2 linked regions of the Sus scrofa genome follow. The protein of the gene in region 1 interacts with the protein of each later gene in a biochemical or structural test. Links are inferred from orthologs where the notes say so. Each region holds a gene or a part of one and is shown in the gene's direction. Other genes may lie near its edges.

The links.
Region 2: the proteins of TNNI1 (region 1) and TNNC1 are reported together in a solved structure, tested with the Homo sapiens proteins (2 studies listed by BioGRID, with this or other methods). The link is inferred for Sus scrofa from reciprocal best matches to the Homo sapiens genes TNNI1 and TNNC1.

The regions. Positions count from the first base shown.
Region 1 is NC_010452.4:23,787,736-23,790,812, reverse strand, and holds the end of TNNI1 (troponin I, slow skeletal muscle), read left to right. Parts: intron 1-859; coding exon 860-1,036; intron 1,037-1,281; coding exon 1,282-1,389; 3' UTR 1,390-1,391; intron 1,392-2,201; 3' UTR 2,202-2,534; downstream 2,535-3,077. UniProt on the Homo sapiens protein: Troponin I is the inhibitory subunit of troponin, the thin filament regulatory complex which confers calcium-sensitivity to striated muscle actomyosin ATPase activity.
Region 2 is NC_010455.5:34,591,389-34,595,859, reverse strand, and holds TNNC1 (troponin C, slow skeletal and cardiac muscles), read left to right. Parts: upstream 1-1,539; 5' UTR 1,540-1,548; coding exon 1,549-1,572; intron 1,573-3,020; coding exon 3,021-3,051; intron 3,052-3,268; coding exon 3,269-3,415; intron 3,416-3,695; coding exon 3,696-3,810; intron 3,811-4,035; coding exon 4,036-4,172; intron 4,173-4,255; coding exon 4,256-4,287; 3' UTR 4,288-4,289; downstream 4,290-4,471. UniProt on the Homo sapiens protein: Troponin is the central regulatory protein of striated muscle contraction. Tn consists of three components: Tn-I which is the inhibitor of actomyosin ATPase, Tn-T which contains the binding site for tropomyosin and Tn-C.

The DNA.
Region 1 (3,077 bases):
ACAGTACAGACTCCCCCCCACCTGCCTGGACTCTTCAGTGGGAAAGCAGCGGCCCCACTTACCCAGGAAGACAGTTGTACGCCTGGTAACCACCTCTTGCCTTGCGAAAGGCTTCCATGTGTGTTTTATCTTTAATCTGCCCTGCACGCCTGGGGACCAAGTGGGTGCTTTCATCTGCACCTGACAGATAAGGACACTGAAGTTCAGAGAGGCTGAGCAACTCAGCTTGGGTCACACAGAGGAGGTCCAGGCACCAATGTGGTCTCTGAGTCCGACTTCAGTGCTCAGCGCTCCCTTGGTGTGGGACACGGGGCCACCGACCCCACCCAGACCGTCTTAGAGCAGTGGGTGGAACGCGGTGGGCAGGGCTCCTGCTGCTGGAGCGGGCAGTGCCCAGGCGCCTATTCAAGCAGAGGGGGATGGGGGCGGGGACCAGGGCCACGGCCCTCCTTCCGCCTTTCCCCACAGGAATGATGGTCTGTGGGGTCACTGGTCTCCCCAGAATTCCCTCCAGAAGTGGTCCCTGAAATCCCCCAGGGCCTTGGACCTGGGGCTTTGTCCACCTGCTGGACCAGGGCTGTGCCCTCAGGGAGCTGCTGGAAGGCTCCCTGGGAAGGGAGTGGTTAGAAGCAGGAATAAGAGGAAGTGAACCCTTCTGCCTTTCCCTCCACGGCCATCACCGTCACAGCTCACGGCCTCCCTGCCCGGGTTGCACTCAGCCCGCACCGGTAGAATAGAATAGAGGGCGCTGCTTGCGAGGTGATGGTGGGTCTGGGTGGCCCTGGGAGTCTGGCCTGGAGCTTGGAGAACTGGGGGCTCTGGCTGAGACCTGGAGCCTTGAGTCGCCCCCTCCCTGCAGATCAAGGACCTGAAGCTCAAGGTGCTGGATCTGCGCGGGAAGTTCAAGCGCCCTCCCCTGCGGCGTGTCCGCGTCTCGGCTGATGCCATGCTGCGTGCCCTGCTGGGCTCTAAACACAAGGTGTCCATGGACCTGCGTGCCAACCTCAAGTCCGTGAAGAAGGAGGATACGGAGAAGGTCAGACCCTGACTTCACCCCATGCAGCCTCAGCAATGCCCGCCCCCCCCCGGAGCCCAGCCAGCAGGCAGAAGGTTCCAGAACCCCTGGGAGCCTGGGGGAGGCCTAAGGGTCCTGATCTTGGAGAAGAAAGACAGGGGTCCCACTGTGGGAGAGGCTGACCTCCTCTTACCAGTGCCTCTTGCGCATGGAGGCTGGGCTGCCCCCACCCCACGCTAAGTCTCTGATGTGGGTGGCCCCCGCAGGAGCGGCCCGTGGAGGTGGGTGACTGGAGAAAGAACGTCGAGGCCATGTCTGGGATGGAGGGCCGGAAGAAAATGTTTGATGCCGCCAAGTCCCCAACGTCTCAGTAGAGGTACCAGCGCCTGCCAGGCACTCCTAGGGCTGCCAGTCTAGAGGGCAGTGGGGAGGTGGTGAGCCGTGTGGTCCCGGGAGGGGGGCTCTCTTGGGGGCTTGGTCTTGCTCTCCCTCCACCAATGCCATGGACTCGTCATGCCTGCTTCCGGGGTGTTGGGGTGGCATCAGATCAGTGGTGGTATCAGACCTGGGTGCAGAGGGTCTGGGCCCTCCCTGGGGCACTGGATCTGAAACTCTGGGGTGGGGCCGGTCCCTGGTGACTCTGATGCAAGAGCTTAGAACCCTGGATTCCACGACCCCCAGGGACCTCCAGCCCTGATTTTTCAAAGTCGAAGCATTTTAGTTGCTTCCTGCAGGATCCTGCAAAGTGCCCGGACCAGGGCTTCCATTCGAGGACATAAGACCACCCTCTCTCTGAGGAAACTGCTGGAGAGAGCGGCAAAGTTAGGCCTCAGAGAGCCCTCAGTGGGCATGCTGAGGGGACATGCAAGGGCCAGGGGTCTGTCCGATGGCCCCGCCCGTCAGGGAAGCCTTCTGAAGGGCTGAGCACTGCCATGTGGTGGCAGGGGCAAGGAGGGCGTGCCTGGGCTCAGAGGTGGAGTGGACGCCTGGGCTGGTGCGAGAAGTCCCCGCTGGGGAGGTACCATGTGGGAGGGGTCTTGGCCCCCCCCCCCCGCGAGCTAAGGCTCATGGGAACCAATAGGACAGTGGCCCCCCCGGGGGCCCTGAGAAGGCCCGGCTGTGTGTGCCGTGGGTGAGGGGCTCAGGCCATGGGAAGCTGATGGTGTCTGTCCCTCTGTCCCTACAGGCCACTGGCCGAGCTGTGCTCTGGGCTCCCTGCACGCTTCTTCCTCCAGCCCCGCTCACCCGCATCTCAGCATCTCCCCCTGCGTTTCAGAGGGTCCCGCTCTGCTCCCCGTCTCCCCTCCAGCCTGAGCGCTCTCCTGCGGGGCTGAGATAACAGACTCCTGAGGAAGAACAGCGGTGTGCCAAGACCTCGCCTGGCGGGAGGGATCCCTGGGGCTCCTGGCCGCTGTGGGGCAGCCAGGCCCCGGGAGGGGCTGCCCCCTCCACTCAGCATGTCGCGTGCCTGAGGGCGTCACAGCCTCTCCATTAAAGCAGTGTCCTGGTCGTTTCTGCAGCTCTGGCTGTGAGCACCCGAGGGGGACAGGGAGTGTGCGAGGGAGGCTGTGCTGGGCTGTGGGCAGGAGCTCGGCTCAGAGTGCAGGGTACCCCTTGTGTCCAGTCCAGTGACGTCACACAGCACAGGCTCACCCCAAACGCTCGGCTCAGCAGCCTGAGCTTCGGCCGTCAAGGGGGCCTCTCCCTTCCCAGCCCAGCTGCTGCTCTCCCAATACCCCTCCTTCGCAGAGCCGGCTCACCTGTCCCCGGTGTGGGGGTGCTGGCATTCCTGACTGTCTGGGGACACCCTGCAGTACTAGGCCTGGCCACCAGGCAGCTTCTTCCTCACGATGGGCAGTTCCGAGCTGGCCCTGTCTGCCTTTATCCACCTCCATGCTCCCAAAAGGCCACTGCTTTCAGGGTGGATTCTGTCCCGAGGTGGGTGGTCGGTGGTCTGTCCTCTAGGTCAAGTCCTTCTATATCCCCCTGACATCTGGGCCATGCCTGAGATGGATGCAAGCCTGCTGGGGTGGAATGGGGGGGGCCTGGGGGCCCCCTCAAC
Region 2 (4,471 bases), on another chromosome or scaffold:
CCGCCCCCCGACGGCCCCCGCCCCCCGCCCCACGCTGCTCACCAAGCAGCCATCTTGGACCGGCCGCCTCCTCGCGCCCCGCCCAGCTCCGCCCCTCGCGCGTAATTGACAGCAGCTGCCAATGGCGCGCGTGCGCAGGCTGCCCGGGAAGGTCCACTTGCGTAATCTGTACCTGCCTGGCCCCGCCCGCCGCGCTCCTAGCAGCGGGGGAGAAACTGAGGCTCCGGGCGGGAACTGCTCTGGGAATTGCCAGTCAGTGCCCAGGAAGGAAGGACCAATGGCCCCGCACCTTCCGGCGTACCTGAAGCGAGTCACTGCTTCGCTTGGTCTCAGTTTCCTTCTCCAGAAAAGAGGCAGTGGTTACCTCTCACCTTCCTCTTGGGCTCATTCCCAGTTGAGCACAAGAAGGCTAAAGGAGAAGAAAAATTGGGGCTTAGAATGCAAGCAGGACAGAATAATTGTGTCAGTTCTTAACCTCTCCAAGACTCAGATCTATGTCACATGGGCTTCCAGAGAACTGAGTGGGCTAGTCCACGCAAACGCCTGGCAGGCAAGGCAGGGAGCTGGTGTGAGTTCTGCGAGAAGGTGTTGAGTTAGGTGGAAGCAATGGCTATGTGCTGGCCATCTGGCACAAGACCCCCGCTGGTGTTCTACTAGAGCTCAAAATGAGGGGGCGATAGATTGGCTCTGGACCCAGGAACTGCAGTACTGGAGCACAGGCAGAGAAGGAGCCTTAACCCAGGGGAAGACCCAGATCTAGAAGAGAGAGGTGGTAAACCAACTTCAGGGGAACAGTCTTACACAGATGGGGCATCTGTGAGGGTGAGTTTGTTGAATGATTGATTGAATGCAGTCAAGCCCAGAGCTAGTACTTCTCTCCCTGGGGAGATGAGAGGTCTCAGGCAGGGCTTCTCTGGCACCCTTGGCAGAAAGGCTCCAGCCCATACTCTCCTGAGGTAGGTCAGTGCCTTCCTTCTCCACTAGTACCACAGCACCGTACTCTGAACTTGGCATTCGAGGCTTCTCTGAGGGTTCTGCTCTCCCACCCTCTCCTTACATAGTGTTGCCCCTGCTCCAGAGAGGTTTAACCTAAGTTAGGAGCTGCCACGTCAGCCAGACCTCAAGCAAGTCCTTCCAGGAGCCTCACCTATTCCCTTGATTGGATAGGGGTTGAGCTGCTGTGTATAGGGGCCTCACCTCCGGGGCAGACAGGAGCTGCAGTATAGTGGGCCCCAGGCGAGGCCCCTGTACACAGCTCCCGTCTGTCCTGGGCTTATGTTTTCATTTTTTCAAAAAACTTTTCTGGAGAGTCCCTGGGGAGATGGAGGACAGAGGGAGAGAGACCTGGTCCTTATAGCCCTTCATCTTCTCCTTGCCCTGGGCGGAGGACACAGGGACTCAGGCCAGTGTGAGATCACCAGGTCCAGGGGAGGGAGTGGAGGATACGGCAGGCAGGGGTGGGCTGGGCCGGGAATGTGGCGGGGCAGGGCTATTTAAGCCGAGGGCCGCTGCTGGCAACCTCAGCAGCCTGCCCTGTGAGCCGCCAGTATGGATGACATCTACAAGGCTGCGGTGAGGGATGGGCCTGGGCAGGGCTGGGGTGGCGGGCCCACAGGGGGCTCATTCAGCTCATGATGGGGGCAAGGTCACCTGAAGGAGATGGTGGGAATCCAGGAGAGGGACCACGTACTTTCAACCCAGGCCCTCAGGGGCTGGTGGGGCTGGCATTCCAGGGTGTGGAAGGGGTGAGGAGTTTAGGGTCTGTGGGTAGCTGTCAGGGTGGGTGGAGGAAGATGTCGCAGCTTTGGCATCATGTCTGCCCCTGTCTCCAAATGTCTCTAGTCTACGTCACTGGTCTCTGGACTTTTGCTGTTTCTAGTCTCTTTCCATCTCTTTGTTCCTTCCAAGCTCTCCCTCTGAGGCTCTGTTGCTGTTTCCCTGTCCCCACCTCCCCCACTGCTGCCCCTCATATTCTGCTTCTCACATGTCCACAATCCCCCACCCCCTCCAGCCCCTTGGCTGGCTGCAGATGCTGTGGAGAGTGGGATAGGGGTTGTGAGGAGGGGGCTGGAGAGCTGGAATCCTGAGCTGGAGAAGGGGCTCTGAAGTTTAAGGCAGGCAGGGAGGGACTGGGCATGGGGGTGGGGAGCTGGGAAGAAGGAACAGAGAGCTGAGGCCCCAGCCCGCATCCAGCTCGGCAGGCTCCGGATCAGTGGCTTAGCCAGGGGTAAGGGCTGGAGGGTGGTCACTTCAGGTCCCTGCAGGGCCCACTGAGGGGCTTCAGATGTGATTCCATGCCAGCAGGGGGGTGTGTTACTGACCTCCTCCCACCGTAGAGACAAGGACATCTGACATGGACAGCTGCTCCCAGGGGAACCCCTCCCTCAGCCCGGGGAAAGGAAGGGGGTGCCTCTGCCTATCCTGCAGGAGTCCATGGAGCTGGGGGGGCAGTCCTCCGCCCCATGCCCATACAAGGCCTGGCGGGGCTGGGAACTAATTTTGGCTCCTGAGGCTCCAGCAGGCCAGGGGGCTAGATAACGCTGCCCCACCCCCTGCATGCCAGAGTCCCCAGAACAATCACCAGGTTTAACTTTGTCCCCCGTTAAAAATAGCCCAGTGGCCACCCCGGTCAGGTTACAGTGGGTGGCTTTGCCTAGCCCCACTTTGGTTTTATTGTCCCAACCTGAGGGACAGCTGTCTCTTGGGCCACCCAGCTTGGGTTTCAGCCGGGGGTTGGGGGTGGGGTGGGGAGGGCGATGACTATTGTTACTCAGGGTCACCTTGGTCGTGGAAGGGGTTCCCACCTGTCACCCTGGCCCTGAGCCCAGTCTCAGTGAGGCTAGCCAGGTCACCTCAGGGCTTTGGGGGGCAGGGAGGGAGAACTGAGGCCTCTTCTGCTCTGTGACCTGGGAATGGCCTACCTCTTCCTGGCTTTAGTCTTCCCAGCTATGGAATGGGTTGATTTCCTCCACAGCAGCGAAGGCCTGAGCCTGAGTCCTGAGACCTCTTTTCCTCTCTAGGTAGAGCAGCTGACAGAAGAGCAGAAAAATGGTGAGTGCTCAAACACGCATGTAGGGGAACAGCAGGGCTGGGCTGGGGGAGTAGGAGGACCCCAGGCTGGAGGCCAGAGGCCAGAGTCCCTCTCCCTCTGACTTCAGATGTCAGAGGGAAGTGGGTAGGTTAACAGGTGGAACTAGAGGTCTGACCTTCCAGGTTTCTGGCTGTTGAGCCCTGGCCGCTCTGTTTCTCCTCTTCCCCTACTGGACAGAGTTCAAGGCAGCCTTTGACATCTTCGTGCTGGGCGCCGAGGATGGCTGCATTAGCACCAAGGAGCTGGGCAAAGTGATGAGGATGCTGGGCCAGAACCCCACACCTGAGGAACTGCAGGAGATGATTGACGAGGTGGATGAAGACGGTGAGCCCCCTCCCCTCCCCACCCAGCCCCAAACCCATAGCACTCCCAGCTCACTGGGACCCTGAATCCTGGATTGCTACTTATTACTCTGTGTCCTTAAAGGAGCTCTTTAGCCTCTCTGAACCTCAGCCGTCTCATGTATAAAATGGGCCCAAGGACCACACAGGCCTCACAGAGTTAGTGTGAGGATGCAGTGAGAGCACTGGGGTCTAGTGTCAAGGGCAGTGCCAGCCATTCTGACCATCCTTCTCTAATGGCTGTGCCACACCCCTCCCTCCAGGGAGTGGCACAGTGGACTTCGATGAGTTCTTGGTCATGATGGTTCGGTGCATGAAGGATGACAGCAAAGGAAAGTCTGAGGAGGAGCTTTCTGACCTCTTCCGCATGTTTGACAAGTGAGTGTATGACCCTTGACCTCTGACCCTAACCCTAGCAGAGCTGGGGAGAGGGGGACAGTCTTGTGACCTCAAGGCCTCAGTCTCCCATTCTGTACAGTGAGGGAATGGGATGCGCCACCTCCCAGTGGCCCTCCCCTGCCTCCCGGGGTCATGAGCAGGGCTGCCTCTTCCCCTCTCTGTGCCCCCATCACGGGCTCTGAGGCTCCCCTCACCCATTGGCAGAAACGCTGATGGCTATATCGACCTGGAGGAGCTGAAGATAATGCTTCAGGCGACAGGCGAGACCATCACAGAGGATGACATCGAGGAGCTCATGAAAGATGGTGACAAGAACAATGATGGCCGCATTGACTATGACGGTGAGTGGGGGTGCACTGAATCCCTGCTGCCAAGAGGCCAGCACCGATCCACCTCTGACCTATGCTCGCCCCTCTCTCCACAGAATTCCTGGAGTTCATGAAGGGGGTGGAGTAAACACCGACCTTCGTTCAGAGCTGCCTGTACCACCTTCCAACTCCAGCCCAGCCCCGGGGTTGGGGGCAGGGAGCCAGAGTCCCCAGGATATGAATTTGGGTATGTGCTTGACCACAGGCCCTCCCTGACTACCTTACCCAGCCCTGTCCTAGAGAATGCAAATAAAGCCCTGCTCCTTGGAGCC